Saccharomyces cerevisiae S288C: one gene and its partner. Changing the gene in region 2 together with the main gene of any one other region gives a genetic interaction. Each region holds a gene or a part of one and is shown on either strand. Other genes may lie near its edges.

Region 1 (4,893 bases), on a different chromosome or scaffold from region 2:
AATTATACGCCTAAACAAGACTTATCTCAATCAATTGTGTTAAAAACTTTGGCCTTTCCCATAAACCCTTCGGATATCAATCAGTTGCAAGGAGTATACCCGTCTCGTCCAGAAAAGACATACGATTACTCCACAGATGAGCCAGCCGCTATCGCCGGTAATGAGGGTGTCTTTGAAGTTGTTTCTTTACCTTCGGGAAGTTCCAAGGGAGATTTGAAATTGGGTGACCGAGTTATCCCATTGCAGGCAAATCAAGGGACTTGGTCCAATTATAGAGTTTTCTCTAGTAGTTCTGATTTAATCAAGGTAAATGATTTGGATCTGTTTTCTGCGGCAACTGTATCTGTTAATGGTTGTACCGGTTTCCAATTAGTATCAGACTATATCGACTGGAACAGTAACGGTAATGAATGGATTATCCAAAATGCCGGTACATCTAGTGTATCAAAAATAGTTACGCAAGTAGCAAAAGCTAAAGGGATCAAAACATTAAGTGTTATACGTGACCGTGATAATTTTGATGAGGTAGCAAAAGTTTTGGAGGATAAGTATGGTGCTACGAAGGTTATTTCCGAATCGCAAAACAACGACAAGACTTTTGCCAAAGAAGTATTGTCCAAGATTTTGGGTGAAAATGCAAGGGTGAGGCTTGCCTTGAATTCTGTTGGAGGTAAATCCAGTGCATCAATAGCACGTAAGTTGGAAAATAATGCTTTGATGCTCACTTATGGAGGAATGTCAAAACAACCTGTAACTTTACCAACATCTCTACACATTTTCAAAGGCTTGACATCCAAAGGGTACTGGGTGACTGAAAAGAACAAAAAAAACCCCCAAAGCAAGATTGACACCATCAGTGATTTTATCAAAATGTATAATTATGGTCACATTATTTCACCAAGAGATGAAATTGAAACTCTTACCTGGAATACTAACACTACTACTGACGAACAGTTACTAGAACTAGTCAAAAAAGGTATAACTGGGAAGGGGAAGAAAAAAATGGTTGTTTTAGAATGGTAAGGGCCTTAGCATTGCTCAGAGTTAGACAACCACCAAAGATAGTATTCCTCTTTATGACATCGAGTATAGTTGCTATATAATATATACCAAGACATTAAAAAATATATGCCAGTGCTATCTTTGTAGGAGCTAATAAAAGGGGACGTCGACCCTTCAATGTATATATCGATCCTTTCACATTAGTCAGGACGAGATAATGAGCATGATGTATAAACAAACGGTAGTTAATACCAACGATAAGTTATACAACTACTGTACAATAAAAAAACATCACAATAGCAATACAGGAGTCCTATTCGCTACTTCAACTTGACAAGATCTACTAGATATAGAAATATCTAGCTTAATCAACAATTTTCCTCACTGATTGCTTCCTCCGAATGCCATTATTGGCTTTCTTGGTTCTTAAGCATGATATTACGTATAAATAGCCATTATATCAATTAGAACAAAAGATTACGTAAATGCAATTTTTCCTGAGAATGGCGTTCGAAGAAGGGCGCGTAACTCGTAGAAACCTAAGAATTCTCGTAGAGCGAAGTCTTCGGTAGGAAACGTAGTAGATTTGCAGAAGATACGCCTGTTAAACTGAAGAAAACAAATCTGAGTAGTTTCCCTTCTTTGGAGTTGAGCTTTACAACAAGTTCATATTGTTGGTGCCAATTTGCCTTGAGACAACTAAGGCAGAATGCAGTTGTTGCGTGTTACTTAATTCTCCGTATTGAATGACCACGCACAATTCCTAATTTTTTTTTTTTCTCGAAAATTCTTTTTTTTTTCACTGAAAAAATTTTTTCAAGGGCCATCCCAGCGATTTTATGACCCAAAAGGAAGGATGCAGTGAAAGTCAACTTACGTCTTCTCTCTCATACCTTTCGTTGCGAGAAATCGTATTTAGTAGTGTATTCAGTTGATAATTAGTACTAATTTTTTATTGCATTTTGCCTTTTTTAGCTTTTTGTGTTACTTCTAGTATCCGTAAAAACAATCAAATAAATAGCACTGTAAAACATGCCTCCAAAGAAGCAAGTCGAAGAAAAAAAGGTCTTATTGGGTCGTCCAGGTAATAACTTGAAAGCCGGTATTGTCGGTTTGGCCAATGTTGGTAAGTCTACCTTTTTCCAAGCCATCACTAGATGTCCATTGGGTAACCCAGCTAACTATCCATTCGCTACCATTGATCCAGAAGAAGCCCGTGTTATTGTCCCATCTCCAAGATTTGATAAGTTGTGTGAAATCTACAAGAAGACAGCTTCGGAAGTTCCAGCTCATTTGACCGTTTACGATATTGCTGGTTTGACTAAGGGTGCCTCTGCTGGTGAAGGTTTGGGTAATGCTTTCTTGTCTCACATCAGATCAGTCGATTCTATCTACCAAGTCGTTCGTTGTTTCGATGATGCTGAAATTATCCACGTTGAGGGTGACGTTGATCCAGTTCGTGATTTAGAAATTATTAACCAAGAACTAAGATTGAAAGATATTGAATTCGCACAAAAGGCTTTGGAAGGTGCTGAAAAGATTGCCAAAAGAGGTGGTCAATCTTTGGAAGTCAAACAAAAGAAGGAAGAAATGGATTTGATTACGAAAATCATTAAATTGCTAGAGAGTGGTCAAAGAGTTGCTAATCACTCCTGGACTTCAAAAGAAGTTGAAATTATCAACTCCATGTTCTTGTTGACTGCTAAGCCATGTATCTATTTGATTAATTTATCTGAAAGAGATTACATCAGAAAGAAAAACAAGCATCTGCTAAGAATCAAGGAATGGGTAGACAAGTACTCTCCAGGTGACTTGATCATTCCATTCAGTGTTTCTCTAGAAGAAAGACTATCTCATATGTCCCCAGAAGATGCTGAAGAAGAATTGAAGAAACTGCAGACAATATCTGCCTTGCCAAAGATTATCACTACCATGAGACAAAAGTTAGATTTGATTTCCTTTTTCACCTGCGGTCCAGATGAAGTTCGTGAATGGACCATCAGAAGAGGTACTAAAGCTCCACAAGCTGCTGGTGTTATTCATAACGATTTAATGAATACCTTTATTTTGGCTCAAGTTATGAAATGTGAAGATGTCTTCGAATATAAGGACGATTCTGCCATCAAGGCCGCTGGTAAGTTGATGCAAAAGGGTAAAGACTATGTCGTTGAAGACGGTGATATCATTTACTTCAGAGCTGGTGCTGGTAAGAATTGATTTCGTGCACTAAAGTTGACTTTTCTTTATTTGGTTTAGTTCCCTACTATATATCATCATAGAAATTTTCAACATGATTTTCTTGAAAGAGAAACGAAAGGAAAAAAGCAATCTCGCGAGTGGATGGCATCGGATTTTATGTATGTGTGTATGTATGTTTATTATTCCCGCATGTTTACGCCCTTAAGCCCAATTAATAATTTGAACTGACAAGCATAATCATTTGACTTTCATTTTTTTTACTATTTTTTTCTATTTACAATGTAACTGTTAAATTGAACGACCCATAAGTTCGGTATCCTAGCTGTGTCTTTTTCTTTTTTTTTTTGCTCAATTGAAGATAAAAGAGTACCATTTTTTTGACCTACGCTCCCGTTCTTCCTTTGGCACATACGCCTGAATTTGTTCACGAATCTTTTCGAGACCAGATTGCTCATCGTAGTTTCTTCCCAACGCATCGATAAACTGTCCTTCAGGGTCGATCAAATAGAAAAATATCGAATGGTCCACTAAGTAATCCTGGTTGGGCTTGACATCACGTGGAGTTGAAAAATATACCTTGTATTTTTTGCATACGCTTTTCACTTGGTCGTACGTACCGGTTAAACCAATGATAGCTGGGTGAAAATCGCTTAAGTACTCTTTCAAGACATCCGGTGTATCTCTTGCAGGATCACATGAGATAAACAATGGCTGTATCTTTATATGGTCTTTATCATCTAATTCAGAAATCCAATACGTTAATCTGTCAAGCTCTTCTGGACAAATGTCGGGGCAATGACTGAATCCAAAGTATAAAATGGAAAACTTACCCTTCAAATTCTCCTCAGTGAAAGGCTTACCATTAAAATCTGTTAAATTGAAAGGACCGCCAAGTGCTACTGAACCGTAAGCTCTGTTAGCATCTGCTTCCTTTTCAGTTTCTAGCAAGCGTCTTTTTCTTGATAAATAGGCATACGTCCCACCACTTAGCAACAATAGAGCAATGGTGGCCTTCCATCTGGAAAATTGAAAAAACCTGGTTCTAATAGGCTCTGGTTCATTGATTTCATCACCTAGTTGTAGCCTATCTAGTGGTTGTCTTGCACTTGGGCTTTCCTTGTTATCACTCCTCAAACAACATCCCGTTGAAAACCCTCTTCGATATGCGCCTCCATTATAAAAGAGTCCTTTTATTGAGACGTTCGCTTGTCTGAATAGGGAACGACAAGCATATTTTCTTGAACTATTCAACATTTTACTCTCGCTTCCCAAATTCCCCTTTCTATGGTGATATTATAAAAGATCCTGTAAGCTGCTGTTTTACGAAGGTATTGTAGACGATCCGTAGCCCTCTTTAGCAATTGTTTGACTACTATCGATGGGACTTCTCGAAATTCATACTTTGTTAGGTTTTCTTTTTTATCCCTAAAAAGAGCGAAAGGATCAAGCAGAAAATTAAAACAATAGGCTACATCATCGAAGTTTCAAAGACCGGCATATCCGTCCATTTTTGAAAACACCCCACCCAAAATTGTAACTATCGACAGATTCTATGATAGCTACCCCGGGATGAAGGGCAGTCTTCTATAACTTGGGGCGGCAAGCAAACCAACCGTCATAGTTAATAAACCACACGTTGGTTATTTAGATTTCTCGTCCTGCTTTTCTGTCGCCAATAGGGCAACCTTAGAA
Region 2 (5,230 bases):
TATCCTCAGAAGTAATAAGAACATTCAAAACGGGAGAGTCTAGCCTCAACCTCTGTAATAAAAGGTCCAAAACGCTCCTTTTAATAAGAATATCATTTTCATCTTCTAAACAACCGACAAGGCATCGGATAAGTAGACCTGGTTCAGGGGTTACTAAATCTTTGGCAGCAGGCAATAAGACCTTGAAAGCTTCTTCTTTTCTTTTTTTCCTGTCTAGATGAGAATCGTTGGTTTCAGTTTCACTTGGGTTCTCTTCCGCTTCCATTTTTATTTTATTTACTAGATGAGGTACAGCATTCAACGACGGAAACTTTCTAGTCAACCACGTGAGTCCGCCCAGTCTTCTGCCTTTATTTGCAGTCATGACTAGAAACAACGTTTGCCAAAATAAGGAATCATCATCCAAGTTCTCCTGCAGAGTCTCAATGAGTTTTAAAGTTAAAGGTAAAAAATCGTTGCTTTCATCATCAATTCCTGGCAATAAACTAGAAATCAAAGGTCTGATGAGCAGTCTTAACGTTGTTTGAGGCAACAGAAGGATATAGTTATCGTAAAGCTCTATCAAATGTGACCTAACAGACATAGAGGCATAAGTCATCAAAGGTAAAATTCCCGGGATCCAAATGTTACATTCTGTAGCCAGAGTTTCAAGGCCAATATGTTCAAAGATATACGTATATACTTCTAAAGTTTTCTGATGAACACCTGCTGGTAACGCCGGCGATAATGAGGATGTCAATCTTCGACTTACTTGATATGGAGAAGGAACATAGTACCTTACATTCTGAAATTTAGGTGACCAGCTTTGCAACGCCTTTAATAGTGTTCCCAAACTAGCAATATAGTCCGCCCATTCTGTTACAGAGTCAAATCTTTCTAATGCTCGCTCGACATTAGCACGAAACTTCTTCTGTTTGGAGTCTAGTTGTTTATTATTTGAGTCAATTGTAAGGGGCTTTAGTGGTAAGGACATTTTTTGTCGATCCTCTCAGAAAAAGCTGCTCTGTCGGCTTTTTATTTCACCGTTATAAACATAATTGGGAGGCTTGAGTTTTATATTAGGTATTGCTATTGTTCCTTTTCCAGTGAGATCGAAGCTTAGCCTTTGAAAAAACCAAAATCACTTTTGATCACGTGCCTCGGGTGGAACGCCCAGCAAATATATAAGTATGTCGTTTATTAATAAAACGGTAATCGGACTCTAAATATTCCTTCTTTCAGCACTCGCTTATGTCGTTATAAAAACTTGATTAATTTGAGTAATTAGCAGTTTTTGCCGTAGGTATGTTTTTAGAATGTTCTTTTGCACAGTCAGAAGCGTTGTTACCCATAATTTCGTGTTGAGAATATTAAATAATTACGTAAATGATCTGCCAAATGCTGACAATGATTGAAAAATAATTTTAAAGTTTAAATAATGCAAAAAATTTGTGTAAAAAGAATATGTGTCAACCTAAGCCGTTCCATACAAATAAATTTCCATCCCATGCAGTTGAAGCCACATATCCTGGCTTTCCCCACAAGCTCCAGTCAGCTCCAAATACGAATTCTGAATGCTGTGTGAAATTGAAAATGGAACCTTTAGTAGCATCCGTAGAGTTAGTTTTATATGTTTCTTTTGCACCATCGTTGCTGAGATCTCTCCATATTCGACAGGTCATATCATATGAAGCTGACATTAAAATATTGGAATGATGAGGGGACCAGGTAACTTTTCTGATTGCCAGCCCGTGCGCATTAGGGATTTCATTGATGCATGATGAATTGTGAAGTTGGCCGGGCACAGTCCTCTTGATAGTCGCTGATTCATTTTTATTTAGCATCCTAATGTCCCAGATTCTAATGGCATTATCTACACCTCCTGTGGCAACTACATAAGGTCTGTATTTGTTGAAATCGCAAGTCAATGCTTCTAGTCCTGAATGCACTAAAAAATTATTCTGATTTTTGCCGGAAGGTAGTCTAATGTCAAATAAGCTTGCATAAGAATTCCCTGAACAGGATAATACGAGATTTTGGTCGTGGGGCGAGAACTGTGCTTGGTATACACAGTTCCTGTTTTTTGAAATACCTGTAAAGCTTTTCTTTTTCAATATAATGGCGTTTAATGGATCCACCATTTTGGTAATCTCTAAAGGTCGTGGAGTAAGGGTCATTAAACTTTGCTTTCTTAGAGGGGACCATATTTTTATAGATCCATCCCATGAACTACTTAAGAAATTCTGCCTGTTGACTAAGTTCCAATTACAACTGAATACTTCTCGTTCATGCTCTTTAAATATAGCAATAGGAAACTCTTTAAAGGTTGTATCAAACAAGCGTAATGTACCATCGCCCTGTGCAACCAACACTTGGTTTTCATGACTTTCGTTCCATGCAAGATCAAATAAACAATCCTGTGTTAAAAAGGAATTAACTTCCACTATTCTACCTGAACGATCAATCTCAAGGATGAACAATTTTCCATTCCCAACCAGGCCAAAGTTTGAACCAGCAGCTACCGCGAGCCTGTTATCGAAAAAGGGAGAATACTGGACACCGTACCCACTAAAACCTTGCATATGATATCTGAGCATGTTGTATAAATTATGCAAAAAGTTAGATGATAGTCCGTTAACAATATGAGATCTCTGCACTTTTCGAGCGTCGAATTCCAAATCAGAAAGAAAACGATTTCGACCTCCGGTAAAAGATTTTATGGTAAGAAAACACAGTTTGTGTTCCACAGTTCTTAAAAGTGTTTTCACCTTTTACTGTTTTGCGAAACGACTTTTCAGAGGAGGTTATGTCGGTGGTTTAATTTCTCGGCCTTCATATTTACTTGCTGGAGACATGCAAATTTCTGATTAACAATGATTATAGAACTTTAAGTAGAAGTAAAGAAAAATAAGTATATGATATATATATATAAAGATGCAGATAAAAAAAAGGTAAAAGGAGTAGAAAATAATGTCTGAAAATGGATGACTGCCAATAGGACATATTTTCATATTAACATACTTCAGAAGCGGTATTGTTTATTGTGATGATCGTTGCTCATTGTTATCATTAGGGACGTCGTTATGAATGGTGGTGTCCGAACTGCTTGAACCTTGGCCTTGAGAGGGATTTTCGTCTGTAGGAGGAAAGGCAGCAGAATTGTTGTTGCGTAGTTCGACGGTAGTAACATCACCATTTTGATTTCTATAACTGGCAACACCGGAGGAAAACAAGTTATTTCTGTTGTTCTCACCAGTACTTCCACCTCGTTGTTGATCATTGCTATGGTTATTGTCGTTATTGTTGTCTCTTGAGCCATTCGTAAAATGGCCTGTTAATCGTGAAATATTTTCCAAAAAGGAACTTCCTTGCGTTGTATCAGAGGACGATGAGTCATTACGTCCTTGGTTGTGAACAGTTTGTGCTCCGGGTGCTGTTGTTGCAGAGGTATCAGAAGTTCCCCTCTGAGCAACGTTGAATATGTGATCCAAAACGGCTCTTAGTCTGTTGTGGTGAGGGTCTGTAGCGTCACTACTAGTGTTATTTGAGTTTGGACCGTTCGCTGCTGATGGGCTTGCCGAAGAATCAGAAGCGGAAGGATTCGGATTTGGACTGTGGAATTGGAACAAAGTCAAAGGGATGGGAACCCAGCGCGGACTTTGATTGTTATTCGAACCACCAGAATTAGAGGGTGGATTTTGAGTAGTTGAGCTCGGCCCGTTGACACCGTTTCTATCGCTATCATTAGGCGGTAAACGGACTGGATTGTGTAAAGGTTGGCCGTTTTGAGGCACTAAAAAAAAGCCTGTTCTTGATAACATCTGTTCGCCAGAACTTGCATTTCCGATAGTGGGAACCGTTGTATTGGACGTGTTTTCGGATGGGGCGGAACTATTTTCGTTAGTGCTATTCACTGCAGTTGGGTCGTATAAAACTCGTCTAATACGTTCAAAAGCAGCTTCGTTAGCTGCTACTTCATCCGTATCTTGTTGGGCTGCACGTTGAACACCTACAGATTCGCTGATCTTTTGTCTACAAAGGGGACAAGAATTTTCTAATCTTGACCATTTGTAGATACATTCCCTCCCAAAAATGTGGCCACAAGGTAACTTGATTGGTGAGTGTTTGTAGCTTGGATTTGTTTCTTCATCATTGAGAGTGCGTTGTTGTTCAGTGAGAGGAATAGAAGGCGGTTCAACAACCGTAGCATTTGTAATCGATGGGTTACTGTCATTATCGGCGGTTGTGCGTAGGGGCGCACCTTCATTATCCTTCCTTTTTTTTGTTCCTTCAGATTCCTCCTCATTTTCAGAATCCCTTTTTCTTTTTGCTTTAGTTGAATCAACTTCATCTTCATATTCGTCATAACATATACTACATAAGGGCCCTTCGGCCTTGGGTAGATCAGAAACTTGCAGAACGGGGAGCTTATCAAACTCATCCTTTGATATTCCTTTTGGTCTATTTAATAGTCTGTTGAATCTCTCCATTGCAAGCTGAGCAGCAACAGATATGAAGCTGTTCAAACGGTCTTGTGGAGTAGACGCAGGAACATCACGAAAAGATAAAACAAGAGCACCGTCGGGTTGATGGCCCCCATTTCCGATGCCAAAGCTGGGCCCAGTACCGTTGGCAATCGTGCTACCGGATGCTGCGCTGTTGTTTTCGTTATTATCATTATTAGATATATTGCTCAAATGTGCTAATCTCTCCGGAGTGAAATAGGAATACTGAATGGAAACGGTTATGTTTCTTGTTTGCTCAGCACCACCATTGAGTGGACCGGAAGCTGCATTTGAATTATTATTATTTTCAGCATTATTTGGTGATGTATTTGTGCCTCTGTTTTGTTCTTGACCACTTTCACTCATAATGAACAAAAGCTGAGGTTACAAGACTATGAGAGAAAACAAAGGGGAAAAAAGGGAGAAACGAACTATCCTGAAATGCTAAATAATTTCTATCTATAGTAGCTTCACTAGAGGATATATATGATAAACTATATTTCCTTCAATATATAGTTTTTAGCTATTATTTCATTATTGATTTGGTGATACTAATGCAATGTAGTTATATGTAAAAAATTCTTTCATATTTTTTGACAATGGCAGATAGAATGTTTTACCCGGCTTTTTGCGTCGAAGTATATAATTGTTGATTAAGAAGCCAGTAACAATAAAAAAGAACAGTATTATTTATTTTACGTTAAAAGACGCTTTTCTTTCAAGTAATGTACAATGTTATACCTCCA

What was found. Genes that interact genetically often act in the same process or in processes that back each other up.
Region 1: mutations in PEX7 (region 2) and OLA1 together harm fitness less than expected from each alone (positive genetic interaction), as found in Saccharomyces cerevisiae (one large-scale study listed by BioGRID).

What each region holds. Positions count from the first base shown.
Region 1 is NC_001134.8:289,007-293,899, reverse strand, and holds OLA1 (Obg-like ATPase), read left to right. Parts: upstream 1-2,034; coding exon 2,035-3,219; downstream 3,220-4,893. Other genes in the region: ETR1 (enoyl-[acyl-carrier-protein] reductase), read left to right, coding at 1-1,023; putative thioredoxin peroxidase SCO2, read right to left, coding at 3,550-4,455. UniProt on the Saccharomyces cerevisiae protein: Hydrolyzes ATP, and can also hydrolyze GTP with lower efficiency. Has lower affinity for GTP.
Region 2 is NC_001136.10:739,025-744,254, forward strand, and holds PEX7 (Pex7p), read right to left. Parts: upstream 2,577-5,230; coding exon 1,449-2,576; downstream 1-1,448. Other genes in the region: DOP1 (Dop1p), read right to left, coding at 1-973; ubiquitin-protein ligase SAN1, read right to left, coding at 3,018-4,850. UniProt on the Saccharomyces cerevisiae protein: Receptor required for the peroxisomal import of proteins containing a C-terminal PTS2-type peroxisomal targeting signal, such as 3-oxoacyl-CoA thiolase. Specifically binds to cargo proteins containing a PTS2 peroxisomal targeting signal in the cytosol.